4 linked regions of the Saccharomyces cerevisiae S288C genome follow. The protein of the gene in region 1 interacts with the protein of each later gene in a biochemical or structural test. Each region holds a gene or a part of one and is shown in the gene's direction. Other genes may lie near its edges. The genes, in order: FUS3, FAR1, PTP3 and PTP1.

Region 1 (7,376 bases):
ACCATCGGTGGTGAAGAAGGTGGAACATTCTTTATATGGTAAAAGGTTAGGACCAACGTTGCCAACGCCGAACATCATTCCTAATGCAGAACCGGAAGAATATGTATCTCTAATATCCTTACGTTCAGTATAGCCATGTAAGTGCAATGAACACTCATCCAGTGATTTGGAGCTGCAAGAAAACTTTTTTCCTTCTGAATCCCTCTTCGGAGGTTTCAAAAAGTTCCAATCTGAACCTTCATTAAAGGTGATCTTCGTCTTCAATTGTTTGTCTTCTTTATTCTCGGCGACCTTGTCACTATTTGAAACGATGTTGGTGAGAATAATGCCTTCGAGACCTTGAATTTTTTCAAAGTCAACATAGCCGAATGTGTTTCTATTAACGGCATGCTCCAACGTGACAAAAGAAGTACCATTTGAGTTGGATTTCAAAAGATTGCCAAAATCGCGTCCTGGTACTAAGTTTGTTGCTAAATGTAAGAATATCGATCCTTTCTCAGACTCTAATATAGTGAATGCCTCTTGCTTCCCAACATCTTCATCATATGGGAATTTTGCCTCGGCAAACTCAGTACCATCGATAGTTACGTATGCTCTCAATTCGTTGTTCTCATGAGGAACAGCAACGATGATATAGCCACCAGTGGATAAGTAGCCGATAATATTTTCAAAGACGGTATTTTTATCATCCTGGAAAAAATCAGTAGAAGAAACTAAGCTTCTTGTCTGCGAAGACTTTTCCTTCACTTGACACATAACCATATCCTCATTTGACGGATATTTGAAAAGTGAGCCCGCAAACTCACAATGAATTGCATTATCAAGCATTTCCGTAAACGTTTCGCCCCCATCATTGGTCAGGTATGCTACCGCATGACATTCCGGACTTAAGATTGACTCACAATTCTTACCACCATAATAGATAAATGTATCCTGTGCCTTAGCGTTAAAGTCTAATGGCATACCTAACTGCCTAGCCTCGGGCAATTTAGCAGTCATAAAAGAGTATCCCCTATCATGGGTAGAGAAAATGCTACCTTTGGAACCAAACAGATAAGCTGAAGAATTGTAGTATGGATTAAACACAACTTCAATAATTGTTTCACCATTACTGTCGAACCTTTTTATTGTTTGTCCACCATCATGAGATATATAAGCTTCTCCTCTTGAATTGATCATGAGGAGGGATTCGTCGGTGACTGTGTCAAAGTATTGATAGAATTGAATCTTGAAATCAAATTTGTTTTCTGTAACCACTATTTCTTTATCATTCGTTCCCTTCTTTGGAACTCCCTCACACGAAATATCCACTGATTTGACTGTCATTGGTTTTTTACATTTATCACCTTTAACTAGTTGCAATGGTTTTACAGGCACAGTTTTTTTCTTTGTCTTATCACATACGTCAGAGAGAACGATTAGGTTGTAGTCTGGTACGCATTTCCCGGTCGCGTCCCTAACAAATTCAAACGCGCATTCGTAATCAGCCTCGGTACACTTGTCACAAGCAGTCTCAAATAATTGTAAGTCTTCAAAAACTTTCTTCACCAAGCACTGAGCGTCCTGTTTTCTTCTTCTGATCTTGTACTTGACTCCATTGACACACTTCCCCTCAGCTAAATTCCAATCCTCGAAATCATTTTCTTCGCATGTCTTATCATTAAAGGCTGTTGAAAAATCAATTGCATAGATGAAATTCGTTGTACCATCCATATGCGCCAAAGTAAACCCATTTAGAATAAATTTAGCTCCAGATCCGTCGGGCGTTGTATTCATTACTTCATTTGGGTAGATAGTAGTTTCTAGCTGATATTCGGTCCAAGTTTTACCTTGGTCTAAAGAGTAATAAAATTCGGATTGAGGATCGTCGTCTTCATCCGCATTATACGGTATAGCCACAATAACATTTCCGTAATCACCAACAGCGTATAAACAAGGAAAATCAAAGGCGAGTTTCCATGTTAAGCCACCATCCCTAGAAATAAAGGTTCTTTGATCTCCCCAGTCGAAGACACTACCATCGCCAACAATACCTGTTGTCATTAGAATTCCGGCGGTTGGAGTGGAACCCTCCCGTGTGTAAAACATATTTTGAAGCGAACAATTCTCAAAATCAGTAATATCACAGTCGAATGAGTCTGCGTTATCTGGATCAACAACTTTTAACATTGTCCATGTGAGGCCATTATCAACAGATATTTTGGTTACCCCCTTACTCTTTACTCCTTTGGCTTTTCCTTTACGGTTACGACGCCTAGATAGAGGGTAAAGTGAGGCAATCATCGTTCCTTTCAAGTAAGTAGGTTGATAAAAATTAATATAACCAAACACCTCATTTGCGGTCCATGGGATGGGGGAAAATTTTAACCCTTGTGAGTCGGAAATTAAAATTTCAGACACGATGCCCTTATCCTCCTCTTGATCACTTCTTTCCCTACTCATGGGCAAGATAATTCTTCCCATAGCGTCCTCATATATTTCTCCTTGCATAGAATGCCTTAACTGAGTAGGCATGTAAGCCATTTTAAAGTTTGACAGATCATTTGATACCCACACATCCATGGAAGACATATCATTATATCTGTCGCCCTGGGTTAAGACAACCATGTGAGATTTCAATATCCTGTAACCATTGACGACCTTATCTTTAAATTGGTCAAATTCTTTTAGTGATTTGCCCCAGTCCGTAGTTAGGACCAATTTACTTTCGGTGTAAGGAGAACTAAACTCATCCATAATAAGCTGCATATTTTGAAAAAGACAGATTATTGAGGTATCACTACTTTCAAGGTCAGAATCTTTGCTGGTCTTGGCAAAGCCACAATCAGAAATGCTGATAGGACTATTTTCGTTCCTTTCTAGAGAAGACTTGATCTCAGAAAAGGATTTTCCACCATCATTACTTGCAAAAACCTTGTCTGTGCAACGTGTAATATTAAATATTTCAAATTGTCCCTCTTCGTCCCCCGAATTCTCTTCATTGTCATTGTTTACTTCTGTTTTCTCACAATAGTTGCACTTTGCAAGAAAATAGTTCTTATTCAAGGGATGGGTTTCTATATAGCATTCACGAGGTGAAATACTTTCTCCGGAGTCAGGTAGCGTTATACGCTCCCATGACTTACCTTGATCATTGGTTATATAAAGGTACGACCCATTCATTGCCGTTGCAACGGCTCTGTCATGTCTATTGAAGGGGTCGATGTATATCCAAGTGATTTCGCCTTCAATGCCTTCAACTTTTTCCCATGTTTCACCATCGTCAAAGCTTATAGTAACGGAGGTGTCTTGTTTTCTAATTAAAGTGTTGGAATCATCAAAGCTTAATATATCAAATGAATCTTGCGCGATAGTCTTTGTCACTTTGGGGGTGAATTCTTCGGCATTAGTTAAAGGAATGAGAAGTAAGGCCCAAAGAGAATAGACAAAATGAAGTAATATCATAACGTGTGATGACTACTGGACACTTCAGGGCTTTTCCAGATATACAGAGCTTTATAATACAATCTAAGGGCAAAATAAAAAAGGAAAAAGAGTACGGTAGTTGAGAAAAAAACCGGAAAGGAATTGCTTTAAAGATCTTAGTAGAATGAAATAGTACCACCTACTCGCCTCCTTTTTTTGTGCTTCTTGAGAGGTCTTTTGAGCTGTTGCATCATGCTGTTATTTAGAGGTTATTTTTTGACCTTGGTTTTTCCTTCTTTTCGCCGTACTCAGCCCGAGAAAAAAGCAGCGACTGCACTAAACTAGAGGAAAGAAGGCTTAAAACATCACGCGATCCATATAAAGACCCGAGTAGTTGGAGAGATTGACTACTTGACGTTCAAAAGAACATACATAAGGATAAATTCGTTCGGACTTTTTAACTTACACACATCTTTTGGTGTTCATTCAAGGGGCGGTAGTGCTTGTAGTCCGCACAGGCGGATACTTTTTAGTTTGGGAAGAGTTAACTGGAGAGGGCAGTTTACTTTCACATACTCTTTTATCTTTCTGAAGTAAAATGTGATGTACCTACAAGCAATGCATAAGCTCTTGAGTTTTAGATCTGTTTCACCCTGGAACTCAAAATTCTTTTACTCGAAATTTTTACTTTTTTTTTTTTTGTTTCTGCATTCTCTCAGATTTTAGATGATGCGGTTTTTTACAGGGCATTGAAACAATTGCAGAAAAGCAACATACTAATATATCATAACTTTTTACTCTTGCCTCTCAGAAACTATATATACGTTGTAATCATTTTCTTTCTTCTAATAGCTAGTTCGTTTGAACTACAAGGAAATAAGGCAGAGAAAAAGAAAGGAAAATAATATGCCAAAGAGAATTGTATACAATATATCCAGTGACTTCCAGTTGAAGTCGTTACTGGGAGAGGGTGCATACGGTGTGGTATGTTCTGCAACGCATAAGCCCACGGGAGAAATCGTGGCAATAAAAAAGATCGAACCATTCGATAAGCCTTTGTTCGCATTACGTACGCTGCGTGAAATAAAGATCCTGAAGCACTTCAAGCACGAAAATATCATAACAATCTTCAACATTCAACGCCCTGACTCGTTCGAAAACTTCAATGAGGTCTACATAATTCAAGAGCTAATGCAGACAGATTTACACCGTGTAATCTCCACCCAGATGCTGAGTGACGATCATATACAATATTTTATATACCAAACCTTGAGAGCAGTGAAAGTGCTGCATGGTTCGAACGTCATCCATCGTGATTTAAAGCCCTCCAACCTTCTCATAAACTCCAACTGTGACTTGAAAGTATGTGATTTCGGTTTAGCAAGAATCATTGACGAGTCAGCCGCGGACAATTCAGAGCCCACAGGTCAGCAAAGCGGCATGACCGAGTATGTGGCCACACGTTGGTACAGGGCGCCAGAGGTGATGTTAACCTCTGCCAAATACTCAAGGGCCATGGACGTGTGGTCCTGCGGATGTATTCTCGCTGAACTTTTCTTAAGACGGCCAATCTTCCCTGGCAGAGATTATCGCCATCAACTACTACTGATATTCGGTATCATCGGTACACCTCACTCAGATAATGATTTGCGGTGTATAGAGTCACCCAGGGCTAGAGAGTACATAAAGTCGCTTCCCATGTACCCTGCCGCGCCACTGGAGAAGATGTTCCCTCGAGTCAACCCGAAAGGCATAGATCTTTTACAGCGTATGCTTGTTTTTGACCCTGCGAAGAGGATTACTGCTAAGGAGGCACTGGAGCATCCGTATTTGCAAACATACCACGATCCAAACGACGAACCTGAAGGCGAACCCATCCCACCCAGCTTCTTCGAGTTTGATCACTACAAGGAGGCACTAACGACGAAAGACCTCAAGAAACTCATTTGGAACGAAATATTTAGTTAGCCATCATTATCATTAAAATATCAACCCGAAGAACAATGTATACATATACATATACGTACACATATACATATGTACATATGACATACGTATTAGCCGCTGAGGACGCGGACGTATAAAAGGACAATACTTATATGGAGCTAAGGGGAGCAGTTACGCAACTCCGTGATCGCGCGCCACGGGCCGTCGGCGGCTGTTAATTGAAGAAAAAAAAAATGAAGAACCACAAGGGGTGATCCATATAGGTGACTAGCATCATCCCCTGCGACGCGCGGCCCGCCGGGCCAAAGGCGGGCAATGCGCGCTGCTGATTGGCCTCGAGGACAACGCCCTCAACCACATCCGCAACAGCCAATCCCATCGGAGCGTCAAACTACCAAAGTAGTGATTGTATGGATGACCACTGTATTGTGGACGGTAAGCGCTTGCTGGAGCAAATGTGTAATCAAGTTGCTGTGTATATATAGACGTTAGATGTGTTCTACCCCTTCTTTTGTCTTGTGCCCACCGGGCTTACATTAGCACACAAAGCAGCAAGAGACCGTCTTACTAGACAATAGCGGCAAAACAAACAACACATTTCTTTTTTTCTTTTTCACATATTGCACTAAAATGACAATTTCTAATTTGTTAAAGCAGAGAGTTAGGTATGCTCCCTATCTGAAAAAAGTTAAGGAAGCTCACGAGCTTATTCCATTGTTCAAGAATGGTCAGTACCTTGGGTGGTCCGGTTTTACAGGAGTGGGTACTCCCAAGGCAGTGCCGGAGGCACTGATAGATCACGTGGAGAAGAACAATTTACAAGGGAAGTTGAGATTCAACCTTTTTGTTGGAGCTTCTGCTGGTCCAGAGGAAAACCGTTGGGCTGAACACGACATGATCATTAAGAGAGCCCCTCATCAAGTAGGGAAACCCATTGCAAAGGCAATTAACCAGGGTAGAATTGAGTTCTTTGATAAACATCTGTCCATGTTCCCTCAGGATCTGACATACGGGTTCTACACCAGGGAAAGAAAAGACAACAAAATCCTTGATTATACTATAATCGAGGCAACGGCCATTAAAGAGGACGGGTCTATCGTCCCAGGTCCCTCTGTCGGTGGTTCTCCAGAATTCATTACAGTCAGTGATAAAGTGATTATTGAGGTTAACACGGCTACGCCTTCGTTCGAGGGTATTCACGATATAGACATGCCCGTGAACCCACCTTTCAGGAAACCATACCCATATCTGAAAGTGGACGACAAGTGTGGTGTTGACTCCATCCCGGTTGATCCTGAAAAGGTTGTTGCGATTGTGGAGTCCACCATGAGGGACCAGGTCCCACCAAATACGCCCTCTGACGACATGTCCAGGGCTATTGCAGGTCATTTGGTCGAGTTTTTCAGAAACGAGGTAAAACATGGTAGGCTACCTGAAAACCTGCTGCCTTTACAAAGTGGTATAGGTAACATTGCTAACGCTGTCATTGAAGGGCTTGCTGGCGCCCAATTCAAGCACTTGACTGTATGGACGGAAGTGCTGCAGGACTCGTTCTTGGATCTTTTCGAGAACGGATCTTTGGACTACGCCACTGCTACTTCCGTGAGATTGACTGAAAAGGGTTTCGACAGAGCCTTTGCAAACTGGGAAAATTTCAAACACAGATTGTGTTTGAGATCTCAAGTTGTCTCGAACAATCCGGAAATGATCCGTAGATTGGGTGTCATCGCCATGAATACCCCAGTAGAAGTTGACATTTACGCGCACGCCAATTCTACAAATGTGAATGGTTCCCGTATGTTGAACGGGTTGGGTGGATCTGCTGATTTCTTGAGAAATGCAAAGTTGTCCATCATGCATGCCCCCTCTGCAAGACCAACTAAAGTAGACCCTACCGGTATCTCTACCATTGTTCCTATGGCCTCTCATGTAGATCAAACTGAGCATGACCTGGACATCTTGGTCACTGACCAAGGTTTGGCGGATCTAAGAGGTCTATCGCCTAAGGAAAGAGCCCGTGAAAT
Region 2 (5,500 bases), on another chromosome or scaffold:
TGTTTGGCTTACCCAACTTGCAACATGAACACTATGAAATGATAAAGGTTCTTTATTCGTTGTTCCCAGATGTACACATGTATTGTGTGAAAGATTACATTAAAAAAGCTGCATCAGCAGTAGGCAGTATTCCGTCTCATACCGCAGCAACTATCGATACAATAGCCCCAACTAAATTTCAGTTTTCCCCCCCATATGCAGTTTCAGAGAATCCACTTGAATTGCCAATTTCTATGTCTTTATCCACTGAGACAAGCGCTAAAATTACAGGTACTTTAGGGGGTTATCTATTCCCTCAGACTGGTAGTGATAAAAAATTTTCTCAATTTGCAAGCTGCTCATTTGCCATTACTTGCGCCCACGTTGTATTATCTGAGAAGCAAGATTATCCAAACGTCATGGTACCTTCTAATGTTTTACAGACTTCTTACAAGAAAGTTTTAACGAAAGAATCAGATAGGTATCCTGATGGTTCGGTGGAGAAAACAGCATTTTTGGAGGAAGTGCAAAGAATAGATCAAAACTTGAACTGGCAGAAATCAAACAAATTTGGTCAAGTAGTTTGGGGCGAGAGAGCAATCGTAGATCACAGATTATCAGATTTTGCTATTATCAAAGTTAATTCATCATTCAAATGTCAGAATACCCTAGGTAATGGCTTAAAATCATTCCCAGATCCAACATTAAGATTTCAAAATTTACATGTGAAACGAAAAATTTTTAAAATGAAGCCTGGGATGAAAGTATTTAAAATAGGGGCTTCTACGGGATACACTTCAGGCGAGTTAAATTCTACAAAATTAGTTTATTGGGCCGACGGAAAGTTACAAAGTAGCGAGTTTGTCGTTGCATCTCCAACTCCTTTATTTGCTAGTGCGGGGGATTCAGGCGCATGGATCTTGACCAAGTTAGAAGATCGTCTAGGTTTGGGGCTTGTTGGTATGTTGCATTCATACGATGGTGAACAGAGGCAGTTTGGTTTGTTCACACCTATAGGTGATATCCTGGAGAGACTACATGCTGTAACTAAAATTCAATGGGACATTGATCCACAACTAGATGGATGATTTGCCTTTTTGAAGTTATTTAACCCATTACAGGATGAAAAAAAAAAGACATTGCACTTGCATCACTGTAGGAGCGACTATAAAACTCACCTTCATTGTTGCTTTATTTTTCCAAGTAAGGAAAAATATCTGTTTACTTTCATTTACCTCTTTGGTTTTGTTAGGCGGGCAAGAGAGACCCGGTCGTTTCAGAATGCAACTTTCTTTTGTTTGCATATCTTTTTTTTTCAGCGATGCAATTTTCAACATGCAGCCATTTCACCGAAAATACCTAAAAAGGAAATAGGCAATAAAATGACATCGTAAAGGTTTCAAATGCGAAGGTACCTTGGTTCACAGTATATAATATATTCAAATTATTAAAAGAAAATAAAACTATCCTTTTTGTTCACTCTGTCTTGAGAGTGTATATTATCTTATCTATTCAAAAAATTTCTATTTACTTTTATATTTCTTGACCATCCTTTACACAAAGTCTATAGATCCACTGGAAAGCTTCGTGGGCGTAAGAAGGCAATCTATTAATGAAGACACCAACAAGAGTTTCGTTTGAAAAAAAAATACACACTCCACCAAGTGGAGATCGTGACGCTGAAAGATCACCACCGAAGAAATTTCTAAGAGGTTTATCGGGTAAAGTTTTTAGAAAGACACCAGAATTTAAGAAGCAACAGATGCCCACATTTGGGTATATTGAAGAGAGTCAATTTACTCCAAATCTTGGCCTAATGATGTCCAAAAGAGGCAATATTCCTAAACCACTGAATCTTTCCAAGCCTATATCTCCCCCACCAAGTTTGAAGAAAACAGCGGGATCAGTAGCATCTGGTTTTTCGAAAACAGGACAACTTAGCGCTTTACAATCGCCAGTAAATATCACAAGTAGCAACAAATACAACATCAAAGCTACAAATTTAACTACTAGTTTACTCCGAGAGTCGATTTCTGATTCTACAACTATGTGTGATACTTTGTCAGACATCAATTTAACGGTTATGGATGAAGATTATCGCATTGACGGCGATTCATATTACGAAGAAGATTCACCAACTTTCATGATCAGCCTGGAAAGAAACATAAAAAAATGCAATTCACAATTCAGTCCAAAAAGGTACATAGGTGAGAAATGTTTAATCTGTGAGGAAAGTATTAGTTCCACATTTACCGGTGAAAAGGTTGTGGAGTCTACGTGTTCACACACTAGCCACTATAACTGTTATTTGATGCTATTTGAAACTCTTTATTTCCAAGGCAAGTTTCCTGAGTGTAAGATATGTGGCGAAGTGAGCAAGCCAAAGGATAAAGACATTGTTCCTGAAATGGTATCCAAACTTCTAACGGGCGCAGGCGCTCATGATGATGGTCCGTCATCCAATATGCAACAGCAATGGATTGATTTGAAAACGGCGAGAAGCTTCACAGGTGAATTTCCTCAGTTTACACCACAGGAGCAGCTCATTCGTACTGCTGATATTTCATGTGATGGGTTCAGGACACCACGCTTATCGAATAGCAATCAATTTGAGGCCGTTAGCTATCTTGATAGCCCATTTTTAAATTCACCATTCGTTAATAAAATGGCAACTACAGACCCTTTTGATTTAAGTGATGATGAAAAACTGGACTGTGATGATGAAATAGACGAAAGTGCTGCTGAAGTGTGGTTTAGTAAAACGGGTGGTGAACATGTTATGGTCAGTGTGAAGTTTCAAGAAATGCGGACCAGTGATGATTTAGGGGTCTTGCAAGATGTGAATCATGTGGACCACGAAGAACTAGAGGAAAGGGAAAAGGAATGGAAAAAGAAAATTGATCAATATATCGAAACAAATGTGGATAAGGATAGCGAATTTGGCAGTTTGATCTTGTTTGACAAACTAATGTATTCTGATGATGGCGAACAATGGGTAGACAATAACCTTGTAATATTATTCTCCAAATTTCTAGTTTTGTTTGATTTTGAAGAAATGAAGATCCTGGGTAAGATTCCTAGAGACCAGTTTTACCAGGTAATCAAGTTCAATGAGGACGTACTACTTTGTAGTTTGAAGAGCACTAATATACCTGAAATATACTTGAGGTTCAACGAAAACTGCGAAAAGTGGTTGCTTCCCAAATGGAAGTATTGTCTAGAAAATTCTTCACTGGAGACACTACCATTAAGTGAGATTGTTTCTACAGTGAAGGAACTCTCTCATGTGAATATAATAGGCGCTTTAGGAGCGCCGCCTGATGTTATATCAGCACAATCCCATGATTCTCGTCTACCGTGGAAAAGATTGCACAGTGATACGCCGCTAAAACTTATTGTATGTTTGAATTTGTCGCATGCTGATGGGGAACTGTATCGCAAGAGAGTTCTAAAGAGTGTTCATCAAATATTGGATGGATTAAACACAGACGATTTACTGGGAATAGTTGTTGTTGGAAGAGATGGATCCGGTGTAGTAGGCCCATTTGGCACCTTCATCGGAATGATAAATAAAAATTGGGACGGATGGACAACTTTCTTGGATAATTTAGAAGTGGTTAATCCAAACGTCTTCCGCGATGAAAAGCAACAGTATAAGGTAACATTACAAACTTGTGAAAGATTAGCGTCAACAAGTGCATACGTGGATACAGATGACCATATTGCAACTGGATACGCCAAGCAAATCTTGGTCCTCAACGGGAGTGACGTTGTTGACATTGAGCATGATCAGAAATTAAAAAAGGCCTTTGACCAGTTATCTTACCATTGGAGATACGAAATTTCGCAACGCCGCATGACTCCATTGAACGCTAGCATTAAGCAGTTTTTAGAGGAGCTGCACACTAAGCGTTATCTAGATGTAACTCTTCGTCTACCACAAGCTACATTCGAGCAAGTATATTTGGGGGATATGGCTGCGGGTGAACAAAAAACGCGTCTAATTATGGATGAACACCCGCATTCTAGTTTGATAGAAATAGAATATTTTGACCTGGTAAAGCAGCAAAGAATTCATCAGACCCTGGAAGTTCCCAACCTCTAGTAGTTCGGGAATCGAGGCCCGTATTTCGAGGCTTTTGCTTTTCCTTTTTTTTTTTTCGTTTCTCCACGTCTATACTACGCAATGACTGAATATATATAATGCGTCGTAAATAGCAGTTAATGTATAAATAGAAATTGAGTAAACTTTAATTTTGCCTAAGAAAGAACCTATTGGCGATAATTAAATCTCGTCATATATGCACTATATATTTTTTTTCGTTTGGCGTTGTTTATCTATTTCCCGAACGGGATTATTTCCCTGAATTAGTTCATAATGAAAAAAACTCGCAGCCGGGTAACCCTCTTCGTACCAAAAATGCACGTGTCTGTACACAATTATACCAACATGGTTGTAGCATTTCAAGTTAGCTTGTTCGAGCTGTATAGTAAAAGAAACGTCGATGTGGCTAATTTGTTCCGGTGACTTTCAGGTCACGTGTTTTCCATGCGTGCGTTGCTTCTTCCTGCAAATCCACGGCTCGTAAAAGAGGACAATCAGCTTTTTTCCGTGGTGCCTGGCCGGGCCGCCTATGCATTCCATACGATTTCCACGGGCCAGATCCCGCCTAGCCCTTCCAGCTTTTCTTTTTCCCCTTTTGCTACGGTCGAGACACGGTCGCCCAAAAGAAACGGGTCAGCGTGTACTGCGCCAAAAAAATTCGCGCCGATTTAAGCTAAACGTCCACAAACAAAAACAAAAATAAGAAATAGGTTGACAGTGGGTGAAAAATTCTCGAAGGTTTCATCTCCAAACAGTCAGTATATAAGTATTCGGGAAAGAGAGCCAATCTATCTTGTGGTGGGTCTATCTTAACCTTCTCTTTTTGGCAGTAGTAATTGTAAATCAAGACACATAAAACTATTTCACTCGCTAAACTTACATCTAAAATGCAATTCAAAAACGTCGCCCTAGCTGCCTCCGTTGCTGCTCTATCCGCCACTGCTTCTGCTGAAGGTTACACTCCAGGTGAACCATGGTCCACCTTAACCCCAACCGGCTCCATCTCTTGTGGTGCTGCCGAATACACTACCACCTTTGGTATTGCTGTTCAAGCTATTACCTCTTCAAAAGCTAAGAGAGACGTTATCTCTCAAATTGGTGACGGTCAAGTCCAAGCCACTTCTGCTGCTACTGCTCAAGCCACCGATAGTCAAGCCCAAGCTACTACTACCGCTACCCCAACCAGCTCCGAAAAGATCTCTTCCTCTGCATCTAAAACATCTACTAATGCCACATCATCTTCTTGTGCCACTCCATCTTTGAAAGATAGCTCATGTAAGAATTCTGGTACCTTAGAATTGACCTTGAAGGACGGTGTTTTGACTGATGCCAAGGGTAGAATTGGTTCTATTGTTGCTAACAGACAATTCCAATTTGACGGTCCACCACCACAAGCCGGCGCCATCTACGCTGCCG
Region 3 (8,906 bases), on another chromosome or scaffold:
GCACCACTGTAATGTTATTGCTAAATTGAGTACACCCTGTATATACAGATACATAACTTATCGATTTAAGGTCTTTTAATATTAAACGGAAAATTCAAAAAAAAAAAAATTTACTGAAAATATCTTGAGATACTTTTCTTCAGCTTTCTTTTTGTTTTTTTCCTCTTCTTCTTGGGCACTGCTCTTTAGTTTTTATTTTTAGTTACGGCAAAATAAAGATGGGTCTAAAAATTACAAAAGGACAGCTGAGAACCAAGGATCTGAATCAATCATCCTCAAAGTCATCGCAGTCTTCAAGAATAGGTGTAGACACTTGTATATTTACTAGAATGCTACCCCGAATAAACACTGCAATTAATCTCACAGAGCATCTGCTGAGAAGATCTTTTCATTCACTGACAAATCTACAGAAAACTCAAGTAAAAGAAAGACTACATGAGCTAGAACGTCACGGTTTCATATTAAATAAAACATCCAAACAATTGGAAAGGATAAATTCTAAGAAAAGAAGACAATTGAAAAAACTGCAAAAGACAGCATACCCCAAGGATCAAGCTTTTCATATTCTTCGAAAATTTCATAAAATAAATAATGAGGCATTAGCAGATACAAAACTGGGGCCAACTAGCCAAAGCGACTTGAAGTTCCTATCCTTAACCAAAGATAAGAGACTCTTTTATACCATACTAGGCGTCAATGGAGAACAGTTACGTGATTCCAAATTAATCGCCAATGATGTTCAAAAATTTTTGAAAAGAGGACAACTGGAAAAAGCTGTCTTTTTGGCTAGGCTAGCTAAAAAGAAAGGCGTCGTTGGGATGAATTTGATTATGAAATATTATATCGAAGTTGTGCAGTCCCAACAAAGTGCTGTAGATATCTTCAATTGGCGAAAAAAATGGGGAGTCCCTATTGATCAACATTCCATCACAATCCTCTTTAATGGGCTCTCAAAACAAGAAAATTTGGTCTCAAAAAAATACGGAGAACTTGTTTTGAAGACTATAGATAGTTTGTGTGACAAAAATGAGCTCACGGAAATAGAATATAATACCGCTTTGGCGGCACTGATAAATTGTACCGATGAAACACTAGTGTTCAAACTTCTTAATAAAAAGTGCCCAGGTTTGAAAAAGGATAGTATTACATATACCTTAATGATAAGATCTTGTACCAGGATTGCCGATGAGAAACGTTTTATGGTGGTACTCAATGATTTGATGAATAAAATACCAGACTATTGTGTCGATTCTAAATTGTTATTTGAGTACTGTGAAGTAATATGTAGCCAGAAGTCACCAAAGATTGAGAAGCAAGGAATGGGACTATGGGCCCTCTGTGAATATTTTCAATTTGATAAGACCATTTTCAAGAAGTATTTGACACAAAGCGATTTTCCTACGTTAGTTCCACTAAGTCATTGGAACATCAATAAGCCATTTCCTCTCAACAAACATGTTGTGGGATTGTTTATGAATTACTGTTTGAAAAACAAGGAATATGATCTTGCTATGGAAATATTTAAGACATTAGAGGCACAGAACAACCAAATGTTAGATCAGAGCATATACCACAAATACATGGAAACTGTCATAACAACGAGGCCCATCACTTGCGGCGACGAGTGTCTGGACATTTATGAACGGGTAGCCTCGTCGGCACAAATCTCAATAACCAGGAGGACGTTAATTTTGGTGTACAACGCATTCCAAAGACAAAGTCTCAAGGCCGTTATAAACAAAGATGCATCAAATGCTGAAGCTACTTTGCACAAGATTCGGGGGTTTATAGATAGCGTAGAGGCCACATACTCATCAAAGTTGAACGGCAAAGTTTACAGGTTTAATTCATGGAAGTTCCTGTTTCCTATCGTTAAAAATCTGAACATGAATGATAAAGTGTCTACAGTGGAACTGAAAAGTATACTAGATGAATACTTGAAATCTTTATTGAATGGTGAGTTCGGGAAGGAATTTAAAGCGAGCATAGAAGACAAGCGGTTTGTTACGTTGGAGGGAATTCGTTTAGTCAAGGTTTTAACCGAGAGAATCAAGCTTCCGTCACTGGACAGTGAGGAAATAGCCAGTTTAAAAGGCACGGAAAGAAAGAAGTTTCTTGCCAGAAGGCACCTTTTGAGGCTGAAGCAAATATTACTGGAAGATTTAGCGGACATTGAAGGCAACTCAAGAAGGAAGGGTGATAGCGAAAATACAAGTACCAGTGAAGAGCGCATCATGGAGGACTTGGCCGAGCTGATACTTGAAACCAGCTATGACAAGTTTTAAGTAAAAATTGATTATTTACTCCTTTCAATATGTACATAGTTTTGAGGTTTTTTCAAATTTTTTTCCTATTTTTTTTGTTAATTGAAAGTTACTGATGATAAATTATTCAAAGGTGGTGTTAATTAAGAATGAAAGTACATCTTCCTATACTATGAAGGAGAGGTTCATATAACACGCGCAATTGGCACGTCTTAAGTATCATCAGTACAATATAGTGGTATGTCAGGTAAATATAACATGTTCAGTGTAACAACTCATATTTTCCACGTATATATTGGATCTGTAACTCAATTGCGTCATTGTCTACATATTGCTTTTAACAGTTTCATTATTCTGTTACTGTTGCAATTATATATAAGCGTATAAGAGATGTGCCTAAGTATACGATGAGAACGCACATAATGTTATTATATCAACTCGCCTGTATATTTTTGTACTACTTGTTCCAACACGAAAATAAACCAAAGTAAGAAGGGTTAGCACCTTTTTTTGCAAGAGAAATCGCTCTTCAACTATTTTAAGTCAATCCTATGAAAAAGGGTTTGCGCCAGATTTCCAGGGACAAAAAAGAAAGTTTTATGTAAGACTAGATTGTGTTGATATCTCGAGCAAACTGTTAACCATTTTAAACCAATATAGTAATAAGTGTGAATAATCGTTCATCTCTAAACAATATGTAAATAATTCTAAAGAACAAAATATTTTGTCATTATCATCAACCTGTGAGCACTGAAAAAAAATTAATTCTAAAATGGTGCTCCATTTGCAAATATTCTTTCTATTTCCCTGACTCCCGCTAATCGGTTTTATTAGTGAAGAATACAGCCGTGGATTGAAAAACAAACTGGTTCAAGTCATTAACTGAAGTAATGCGACCACATCTTATACAAGAGGCAATGCTTTCTAACAGTTTTACATTATTCAAAATCTTCACATAGCCGTAACTTAACTTATATAATAACCGCATATTGGGCTCTTCTGAAAGAACTATTATAAGAAAGATACAAAAGCAAGCAATCAATCCAAGGGAGAAAAATGACCTCAGGATACTATACCGTCTCATTTTTTTATGCGATCTTATTGTTATGCGCATGCACACGTGCTGAGATCTACCTGACGGGCGGTGAAAGCCAGGGCTTGCCATCAGGATTCTGGCAAATGGACGATGATTTGGCAATCGCTCCAGTTTCTATGGTTGAATTTTACCAGACGATAGGATTAACTGCAAATGGTACTGTACCTGAGTCCTTCAACAAGCGTGATGCTACTGAATACCCTAACATTATCAGTAATATAACTACCCAAGCAGCCAACTTCACTCAGCATAGTCTCGTCGAGCAACTTCAAAATGACGTCACGGCAATAAGTATCAGTAATGCCATTAATGTAGCCGTCGATGGTTCTGTGGAAACACCAGCAGACCTGCAATACAACCGCAACCAGGAAACAGGTGAATCTACCCTCTGTAGAGCCAAGTTTTACGGAGTGGAGGTAAGAACTTGGTCTAGGTTGTACAATAGGGCCGTCTCTTCCACAACTCTTACGACTAATTTGAACAGCTACATAGCGCAATGGGTAGCATGGGCCGTTCACGGGAGCGGTGACAAGAAGTTTTGCGGCAGCCAGGAGTTCACGAATATCTTTTTTGATGGGCAAGAGGGTTGGAGTTTGTTTGTCAAGACGTGGTCAACAAACAGTAGCTGTGATATTACAGCCTCTGAAGGAAATTTAACATGTGCAGTTCGTGTTTCAGTATCCAGTATGCACAATCACGGCAAGACAGCGTTTTGTGTTACCTATAGCCACGGTGATTCTTGGCGTGCCGAGCTGAGAGTAGTTGCCAATGATGCTTGGTCCCATTATTATCCCTGGAGTATTGACTGTCCAGAAGTTGATAAAAATAATATGGCTATTAATGATTGTTTTGATCAGGCGCAAGGTTAACGATTGAGTTTCCCATAATTTTTACCGCTCTCCTCTTGGTTGAGACGTATGCGAAAAGCTAATTCGACGTTTTTTATTGTAAAATCGTACACTTTTGCAGGCAATTCTACATATTATATAAGATTTAAGTCGGATCTTGAGACTTTTGGTGAACTTTGAGATGATTGTTGGGATTCCGTTGTTGATAAAGGCAATAATATTATGTATACAGAATATACTAGAAGTTCTCCTCGAGGATATTAGAATCCTTACAATGGACTTGATATTTCTACATAAAAATATTACGATTATTCCTCATTCTGTTTTTTATGTTTCACCATCCAACAGATCTAAACTCATTTCTTCAGGTATTTATAACTTTGATTGGTTCATCTTAGGCATACTCAATCTTACCTTTTTCATGCGTGTAGGAACGAAACTCTAAAATCATCTACGGGTTAAAATTGCTTATACGGAGGTACCCCGTGTTGAGATCCAACACATACAGAAATTCTGGGCACATGGCGCAGTTGGTAGCGCGCTTCCCTTGCAAGGAAGAGGTCATCGGTTCGATTCCGGTTGCGTCCAATGAAATCTTTTTGTACCAAGTTTTTCTCTGTTTTTGTTAGACCGCAAGCGAGTTTACCGAATCACAGCCCACCTCACCCCACAGGAAAACAGCAGCAGAACGGCTGCTAAATGACTATTAACAATAAGAGGTTTTCGGCTACTTTCGCTGCTTGCTCGTTAAATCCGTTCACTGGTAGCGAACCTCAACGACAGATGTCTATGTATGCTATACGTAAAATCACCCCCATTATGGCCATTTTATGTGTCGCCACTGCTACACACCCACCGATGTGTATGTACTTCTAATATCTAACCAGACCAGACCCCACGCTTTTTCTGGCATCTCCTGCTGCCATCTTGGTGTAGTGAGCGGAAACTTTAAACATTAAACAGAATGGCGGCGACTTTGAGATTTGGGCCCGCTGACGCTGAACGAAAAGAAAAGACCTTCATGAAAAAAATATTTTGCGGCAAAACGTCATCGGAGAACACAGCGCAGCGAGAATGTGGTGTTAGCCAGACCCAACAGTTTGCGCACCTGGCATGGATGGATGCAGATAGGTAGTGTTCGATGCGCAAGAGTCCAATCTTCTCCTCGCCATTTGCACCGGCGGATGTAACACTATATTTTCATTGACCTTAGCGGTTTTCTTTCTTTGACATGTAACATCATCACTTCAAGCACAAACAAAGAACTGTATACACAGACCACAAACTTGCATATTATTCTAACATCGGTGTTATAATAGCGTAGGTGCTCTTATCACTGCAAAGTTCATAGAAAATCCGTATTGTATCTCCCTTCTCCATCAGCAACACAGATCTACTTATCATATAGAACATGAAGGACAGTGTAGACTGCCCAAGCATTCTACCCACCGACCGCACTTCAGTGCTTTCCGAGACTAGCACTTTGGTCGGATCGAGTTCGCATGTATATTCGAGGCATGCTCCTATGAACAGTTATCATAACAGCATGAACAGCAACATATACCACAGCCCCAAAGCCAGTAGCCCTTTGGTGAGCTATAAGACATCTTCGCCGGTGTTATTGAAGAGGGCGACCGCTCCTGTCCTGCCAAGCTTCAAGCCCAAGGAACAGCGATATAATAAGCCGCAGGGTTGTTCGCTAATTACTGCTGTAGAACTGGGCAAGATTATTGAAACCTTACCAGATGAAAAGGTGCTCTTACTTGATGTTAGGCCGTTTACCGAACATGCCAAATCCATTATCACAAACTCCATTCATGTATGTTTGCCTTCCACGCTGCTGAGGAGGAAAAATTTCACCTTTTCCAAACTCTTGGACAACTTAACTCCTAGCGAGCAAAGCGTGTTGAAATCTAAACTGGCCATCGATAACCTTCGGATTATCATTTATGATAGCACCGCAAATCAAACGGAAAGTTCTGTTTCTTTACCTTGTTATGGAATAGCGTCCAAGCTAATAGAGTTTGATACTAATGTTAAAAAAACCGTGTCTATACTAATGTGTGGTTTTCCTCAATTCAAAATTCTATTTCCAGACCATATAAACACCAACACATTTAACTCAGATTGCATTAGTTCGGCTGAACCTAAAAGCCCCAAGACAAACCTTATGAACAGTCTACACAACACAGCGCCGCATATGACGGCGACAACACCACTATCGTCTCCGCAAATGAACCTTAAGTTGAAAGTTCCTGACGATAGTAGGTCAGATCATTCAAACTTTTCCAGTTCTCCCTCTCCGCGTAACGTCCTATCAGATTCTCCCATGTCTTCTTCTTCCCCCATATCTGCCTTATTTAAGTTCCAGCTGCCTGCACCACAAACAAACATAAACCAAATGTTCAAATTTTCGCAAAATGAAGAAATAATGGGTTTAGAGACGTATTTGAGTGCAGTCAACATCAAAGAAGAACATGAAAGATGGTATAATAACGATTCTGCCAAAAAATCTTTACAAAACTTCCAATTCCCAAAGAACCAAAATTCTCTAGAAAAGGACACTAATAAAGACAAACTAGGGTTTCAGATCAGATACGAAAACCTGAGCAAAAATTACGAAAAGGAGGTCATTGACTCCGTTATACCTGAATGGTTCCAGCATCTGATGTCAATACCCAAGATCGAGTTGGTTTCTCAGTTTCAAAAATTAGATTTTTTGGAAAAAAGGCGCTTGAACCATTCTGTCTCTTTCAGGAAGAAGGAAAACTCGTTTATACTTGAAAAGCCATCATCATATCCTGAACAGTTAACATCAACTTCTTCTTCAACAATCATGCCTCCAAAATTTCCTGACGTGAACAAAGTACAAAAGAGGTCGCATTCTCAGCCAATCTTCACTCAATACAGTAAATATAAATCGATGCTCAGCCTTGAATCAGATTCCGATTCGGAGTCAGATGACGTTATAATATCATCAGGCGTTGAATTAGGAGCCAAGAACAGGTACAAGGATATTTTTCCCTACGAGCATTCGAGAGTGATTCTAAAAAAAGGTTTGCAATCATCAAAAGGTATCAAGCATTCACATTCTACTTCCGATGGTGGCATCCTCGACAATTATATCAACGCAAACTATTTGTCTCTGCCAAGGTTTTCTGTAGAGCAAAATTCGTCATTTCAAACAACTACAACCACAACAAGAAGAGTGCGCTATATAGCGACGCAAGCTCCAATGCCCTCCACTGTACATGACTTTTATACATGCATATTGAATAATGGCGTTCCGTTGGTTCTCTCATTGACAAATGATTTCGAAAATGGCATTGAGAAATGTTATCGATATTGGCAAGAAGGTAATTATAACGGTATTCACGTTAAATTGTTAGAAAAAAAAATATTAAAGATGCCTAGCACTACTAGCATGAGGAAAAATACTATGGGAACACAAAATAGTAGTTTATATTCAGCTGGTGTTCAGGGAAATAGTAGTAACTATAGTACTGATAATGATAATGATAATGACAACAATAATAATAACAATAACAATAGTAATATTGCTGTTACTGCTGCTGCTTGTGATGATGATGATGATGATGATGATGACGCAATTCTCATAAGAAAAATTCTGCTAACATATCATGATCAAGAGAAACCTTATGAATTGTTACAGATTCAGGTGAAAAATTGGCCTGATTTGGGCACTTTACTCAATCCTATCTCAATCTTACAAGCAATCAATGTCAAGAATCACATAATAGATACACTATTTGCCAGAAATTACTATCAAAACGACCAACTTCCTACCATTTTGGTTCATTGTTCCGCAGGTTGTGGAAGGACTGGTACTTTGTGTACCATTGATTCCATTCTATCCAATTTCGAAATGTTTGAAATGTTGCAGAAAGAGTTTGTTAAATTAAAATACCCGGCAAAGTTATTCGATCCAATTTCATGGACAATTAATATTTTTAGAAAGCAACGAATATCCATGGTCCAGAACATTAATCAATTTATTTTCATTTATGACTGCTTGCTATTTTACTTTAGATTACGTCTTGATGACATAACAGAGAGAACGGATGGTGATGGAAGTAACAAGGACAATATATCATTAAGTGCATTAATTGAACAAATCGAAAAATTAGAGATCTTGCAGACATTCGTGGATGATAAGTTGAAAGAATTGCCACAATAGTTAGGCTAATATGAATGTATTTGATCTCTATTTTATTAATACGAAACCCCTTAATAATTGATATTTTCGATACATATTTGGCAGTAGTTAGCTACGTAACAGAGTATTATTTTCATTTCAAGTTATGCATGAACTCTCTAATTTCACATACCATGCTACCACTACCCTTGGAGGTTTTGTTCATATCTTTTATAATAAAGCTAAAACCGAAAAGGTGAAGGGAAAAAAAAACTATTAGAGCCTGTTTCTTGTATATAGTAGTATGTAATATTTGCTTCGTACGCTTAGTTCATCCCAATAGTAATTCATAAACAATCACCAGTATATTTATTCCAATTAATGGTACTACAAGAATAATATACGAAACGTTAGTAAAATTTTCTCACAAAAGGTGAAAAAGAACGGGAAAAAACTGATGAAATGTAACTTTAACCGTTCTCCATCAACATAACATACTCCTCAGTAATGTCTGTACGGCGCCAATCAATTGAACAACCTTG
Region 4 (5,133 bases), on another chromosome or scaffold:
TTGAATAGGTTCTTCTCCATAGAATTGCCTCCTGAATTTAAATTCGAATGTGATTGGTCCTTCATTTCACTAAATTTCTTGATGAAGTGGTAAAGTTTTTTACGTGACATAATTGGATTTGGCAAGTATCGCGGTATCTTGTTTTTTGATCTGAAACAATTGGATAAAATGTAAAAAACGAAAATCACTGATGAGACACTATCTCTTCGTAGCGATAGTAAGGCTCTCGTGGTTTCAATATCAAAATCCTGATCCCAAATTTCAAAAAATGCACCTGAAATTCTCGCTTCAATGATCTTAGATAACAAAAATTGGCATGAATTGATTAGACTTGCGTACTTCTCAGGATTGAAGTTGGAAATAATGATTGGCTCATGACGGGCTTTCTTCAAAAGTTCCCTGATTGCTTCAAGACTTTGAGTCAGTCTAACTTCACGAATGTGGGAAAATGCGAAAGTTAAATCAGTAGGTGCGTCGTCGGCATCCCTGTATAAATACCGGTCCGCCACGGTTTGGTAGGACTGGCCCAAGTGTGCCAGTAATGATGACATACTATCTCTTAGTTCTGTCCTAGCTCTAAAGGGCCACACTATCCAGTTGATGGGAATCGAAACCAAAATACCGATAATAAGTGCCAAGCCTGTAACCCACGTAGATTTCCATATTCCAGCGGTGGTTAAGTTATAATGTCTATTAGGTTTGCTGTATGGTTCAAGAGCAATTATGGTAAAGCACATTAATGCAGTGAAGCTCGATTTGGTGTTTCTATAGACAAGAAAGTTGATGCTAAATGGGACCACGATCAGACCAGCAAACGTGCAAACCACGTATGGACTACCAAAATGTCTCGATTGGTTGGCAGCCCACCCCCAAAAGATACCTACTATACCACAGATTAATCTCCTCATTACCAACGCCCAGTTACCAGAGTATCTTCTATGTGCTAATAAGTAAAACGTGAGTGGGGCCCACCAACAATGAAATTCTTGGTACCAGTGATAGGATTCAGGTAGCCAAGTTGGTAGACACAAAAATATCATACAAAAAGTAATCTTTAGTGTCCACTTACATTCATCACCAGATAAAATTCTACTCAATTTCCATAGTTTAAATCTCCAAGGATTTTGAGTTGTATGAAAATTGAAGTCGTTGTGATCAATTGCTCTGATGGAAATAGTGTGGTTTTTGCGATTCTGTGACTTTTCGTCACCACCTTGTGAATCAAGTCTCAGCGCTTCTTCTTCGCCTTTGTTATACTTGTGTCTTGACGTGTAGGTGTTATAAACTCTTTCAAAAATTTCATCGACATCACGTTTGGCCTCAAAATAATGAAGAACATTTCCTGCACCTTCATCGAGAACACATTGTTTGGGCAATCTTGTCAACGCACGAGACAGTGGATATGATGGCAGAGCAATTCTCCAGTGAATATTCTCACCCAAAACTTGGCAATCGTGGATAACAGTAACTAGCTGCCTTGCGGAGTTTCTCAAATATCTTAGAAAAAGGAAAATATCGACAGACTCTTCGTCATTCAACAGTTCCTGTGAAAAAAAACTAGAATTCACAAAATCCCTGTAACAAACATCTAGTTTGTAAATTTTCCTCTTTAATTTAGAATGCGAGTGACTTAATATTTTGACACACTCATCTAAGTTGTTTTTTTGATTTGGAGACTCGTATTTCTTTAGTACTCTTGATAGATTTTCCAAAACGAAGATCATTTCCAGTATTAAGTTGAAGATGCTTTTCGAGAAGGACGCCTTTAATGCATTAATGTAGATTTCATTTTTTAAAAGCCCCGGACCGATAGGCTTAAAGGCACTGGGCGTGTTTTCTCTTGTTGGAATTCCTGAAGATTGAGGGCTAGCGCTTGCTTCTTTGCTCAGGGTCGCAGAATCCGATCTATACTTCTCCAATTCTTCATACATCTTTTTCAATTCATCATCATTAAAAATTTTGGGTGCAATGGGTAATACTCTCAGAGAAGTTTCCATGGCAGTTAAAGAATTTCTTAAACTCTTCAACGATTGAAGGTCAAACCTGGAAATTGTCAACTGATTTACAAAATCTCTAAAACCTTGAGATAAATCAATGTTTAGTGTTTTCACCATTTTTACTTGGGCTAGGTAAATTTGTTCTTTGGACTTTATTAATTCAGTATCTACTAGTGCCATTAAAAAGGTCTTTGTGGTCTGTAGACACTTGTTATAATGTTCCATTAACTCTGCATTGCCACTATGTGGTGATACACATACACAAACCAAGAGAGATAGCAAAAGGCCGAAGAGATATGAGATTCCAAAATCCCAAAAAATTTGCCACTTCAAATCAAACTTGGATGAGGCCAACCGAACTGTATGAGTGAATATAATCGATATCGAAAACGAAGTTGTGAAATAGAAGAACCGACGGTAAACAGACCTTAGCCAGATGGCAAATAAGAGGGCCATAGTCAGACTCTGAAATAAAATTCCTCCCTGGTAGTTTGCGGTCGGCTTTGTCGCTGTGGAAATGTACCATGCCAAAGCCGACCATCCCAGGCCAAAACTTGCGCCGATAATGGAGCTTATAGTCATTTCCAGTTGAACACCAATATTTCTGACCGGATGATGTATAAGTACTGCGATGGGTAGAAAATACCTGAACTCATGGCCAATCCACCTACCAGAAGGCCTGATAACGCAAATCACGATAGCAATGAAATAAGCAATAAAAAACTTGAATATGGATACCCCATTTTTTCTAATATCTCTAGGGAAATGAATAATGGGCCTGTAGATAGCAGTCCAAACATATTCGGAAAGCTTGGTAAAACCAGATTGCAGTTTTTTCCTTGCAGCGCCATTGTCGTCATCGATGTCGCTGTTAGGAGACCTAGCTTTGCTGTCCGGCTTGGTAAAAGCAGCATCAAAAAACCCATCTCTCAGCTCTTCCAGCCCAAAGTCCTCTACTTCCTCCCAGTGTTTGTCCTTAACCAAATTTTCCAGCCGCATTTGCGATAAGGATGCCACGGATTGTTGTGGGCTTCCTGCAAAGCTAAGCCCGCTTATACCGGCAGGATTCTTATAGTTAAGTTCATGTAGTGACCTGAGTGATGTTTGAGAGTATGAACCTTTCACAATATCAGGATCAGGAGTGGGACTTCGATCTCGCTCATATCTTTTCATGAGGACCTGTTACAATTCCAGCACTATACTGTACATGCTTTCCTTAGTGGAGCACAAAGCAAGTTAAAAATGAACTTTAAATTGATTAAAGTGTTAGTGACGCTTAAACTCGTTTTCCTGCGCGTATTTCACGCAATCTATACATAATCATCTTTGATAATGTTATATCGCCTTTCATTTCCAGATTTTGTTCACTGAAAAGTCTTATCGGAAACCTAACTTTGGGCGACAGGGTTATTGTTTATAATTTGTAGGTGTTCCATTTTTTTCTTTGTACTTTTTTAGGTTAACGTAATATTTAATTAGGTCATTTTTAGGGCGTTTAGTATTAGAAAAATTCATTTGTACACACTATTAAGAGGAAGGCAAACTATATTTACATTTTATTGAGGAAAAGGGTTCATCGAGGAGTTATCAAGAAAAGCGTTTGTTAGTAGTAGTTTGCGACAGTGGAGATGGCAGCTGCACCATGGTATATTAGACAGCGTGACACGGATTTATTGGGTAAATTCAAGTTCATACAGAATCAAGAAGACGGCAGATTAAGGGAAGCTACAAACGGAACGGTGAATTCACGATGGTCGTTGGGGGTCAGCATAGAACCTCGTAACGATGCTAGAAACAGATACGTTAACATTATGCCGTATGAGAGGAACCGCGTTCATTTGAAGACTCTATCCGGGAATGATTACATTAATGCCTCGTATGTCAAAGTGAACGTGCCAGGGCAGAGCATCGAACCGGGCTACTATATTGCTACTCAAGGTCCCACGCGTAAAACTTGGGATCAGTTTTGGCAAATGTGCTATCACAATTGTCCTTTAGACAATATTGTCATTGTGATGGTCACGCCTCTGGTAGAATACAATAGGGAGAAGTGCTACCAGTACTGGCCTCGCGGTGGTGTAGACGATACGGTTAGAATAGCATCAAAATGGGAAAGTCCGGGCGGCGCCAATGATATGACTCAATTTCCCTCTGATTTGAAAATAGAGTTTGTTAACGTACATAAGGTGAAGGACTATTATACGGTCACCGATATCAAACTCACACCCACGGACCCTCTTGTAGGACCTGTCAAAACTGTTCACCACTTTTACTTCGACCTTTGGAAAGATATGAACAAGCCAGAGGAAGTAGTACCCATAATGGAATTATGCGCTCACTCCCACAGCTTGAATTCCCGCGGGAACCCCATTATCGTACACTGTTCCGCAGGCGTGGGCAGAACGGGGACGTTCATTGCCCTAGATCATCTCATGCATGATACCTTGGATTTTAAAAATATTACAGAACGGTCAAGGCATTCAGACAGGGCTACAGAGGAGTACACACGGGACTTGATCGAACAGATCGTGTTACAGTTGCGCTCGCAAAGAATGAAAATGGTTCAGACAAAGGATCAGTTCCTATTTATCTACCATGCTGCCAAGTATCTTAACAGTCTTTCCGTGAACCAATAGACAGCTATATAAAAGTTCCTAATTGTGCATTTTTTCAATAACAATACTTATTCATCCTTATAATTATATTCTAGCTTCGTTGTCATGGGAACATAGCCCATACACCGCAGTTATTTATGATCATTTCGAACGGGAAGTATGGATGAATCTTTTTTTTTTTTTTTTTATAGCACGCAACTGAAAAAAAAAAAAAGAAAAATTTTTCATCTTCGCTCGACGTTTCTTTTGTAGTACTCATCTCTTTTTATATAAAGATTAATTAGTTATTGTCGCTTTGCTTTTCCTTCTTTAAAAAATGTTTCTTGCTTTTGGATTTTCAGATGTCCCAAGATCATTACAGTATTTTAATTGAACAAAATGGCTGAAGGTGTTTTCCAAGGTGCTATCGGTATCGATTTAGGTACAACCTACTCTTGTGTTGCTACTTACGAATCCTCCGTTGAAATTATTGCCAACGAACAAGGTAACAGAGTCACCCCATCTTTCGTTGCTTTCACTCC

The links.
Region 2: of the proteins of FUS3 (region 1) and FAR1, one has a biochemical effect on the other in vitro, tested with the Saccharomyces cerevisiae proteins (4 studies listed by BioGRID, with this or other methods).
Region 3: of the proteins of FUS3 (region 1) and PTP3, one has a biochemical effect on the other in vitro, tested with the Saccharomyces cerevisiae proteins (2 studies listed by BioGRID, with this or other methods).
Region 4: the proteins of FUS3 (region 1) and PTP1 form a complex in vitro, tested with the Saccharomyces cerevisiae proteins (one study listed by BioGRID).

What each region holds. Positions count from the first base shown.
Region 1 is NC_001134.8:188,140-195,515, forward strand, and holds FUS3 (mitogen-activated serine/threonine-protein kinase FUS3), read left to right. Parts: upstream 1-4,311; coding exon 4,312-5,373; downstream 5,374-7,376. Other genes in the region: PEP1 (type I sorting receptor), read right to left, coding at 1-3,444; ACH1 (acetyl-CoA hydrolase), read left to right, coding at 5,983-7,376. UniProt on the Saccharomyces cerevisiae protein: Together with closely related KSS1, FUS3 is the final kinase in the signal transduction cascade regulating activation/repression of the mating and filamentation pathways, induced by pheromone and nitrogen/carbon limitation, respectively.
Region 2 is NC_001142.9:122,420-127,919, reverse strand, and holds FAR1 (cyclin-dependent protein serine/threonine kinase inhibiting protein FAR1), read left to right. Parts: upstream 1-1,591; coding exon 1,592-4,084; downstream 4,085-5,500. Other genes in the region: SSY5 (Ssy5p), read left to right, coding at 1-1,067; CIS3 (Cis3p), read left to right, coding at 4,972-5,500. UniProt on the Saccharomyces cerevisiae protein: Inhibitor of the cyclin-dependent kinase CDC28. Necessary for cell cycle arrest. Involved in pheromone response. Contributes to mating efficiency. Required for oriented polarization of yeast cells in response to mating pheromones.
Region 3 is NC_001137.3:307,913-316,818, reverse strand, and holds PTP3 (tyrosine protein phosphatase PTP3), read left to right. Parts: upstream 1-5,619; coding exon 5,620-8,406; downstream 8,407-8,906. Other genes in the region: ICP55 (aminopeptidase), read left to right, coding at 1-12; MRX1 (Mrx1p), read left to right, coding at 219-2,285; YER076C (uncharacterized protein), read left to right, coding at 3,321-4,229; YOS1 (Yos1p), read right to left, coding at 8,696-8,751, 8,863-8,906. UniProt on the Saccharomyces cerevisiae protein: Major phosphatase responsible for tyrosine dephosphorylation of MAP kinases FUS3 and HOG1 to inactivate their activity; it also has important roles, along with MSG5, in the inactivation of FUS3 following pheromone stimulation.
Region 4 is NC_001136.10:39,075-44,207, forward strand, and holds PTP1 (tyrosine protein phosphatase PTP1), read left to right. Parts: upstream 1-3,625; coding exon 3,626-4,633; downstream 4,634-5,133. Other genes in the region: BRE4 (Bre4p), read right to left, coding at 1-3,170; Hsp70 family ATPase SSB1, read left to right, coding at 4,991-5,133. UniProt on the Saccharomyces cerevisiae protein: Is not required for vegetative growth.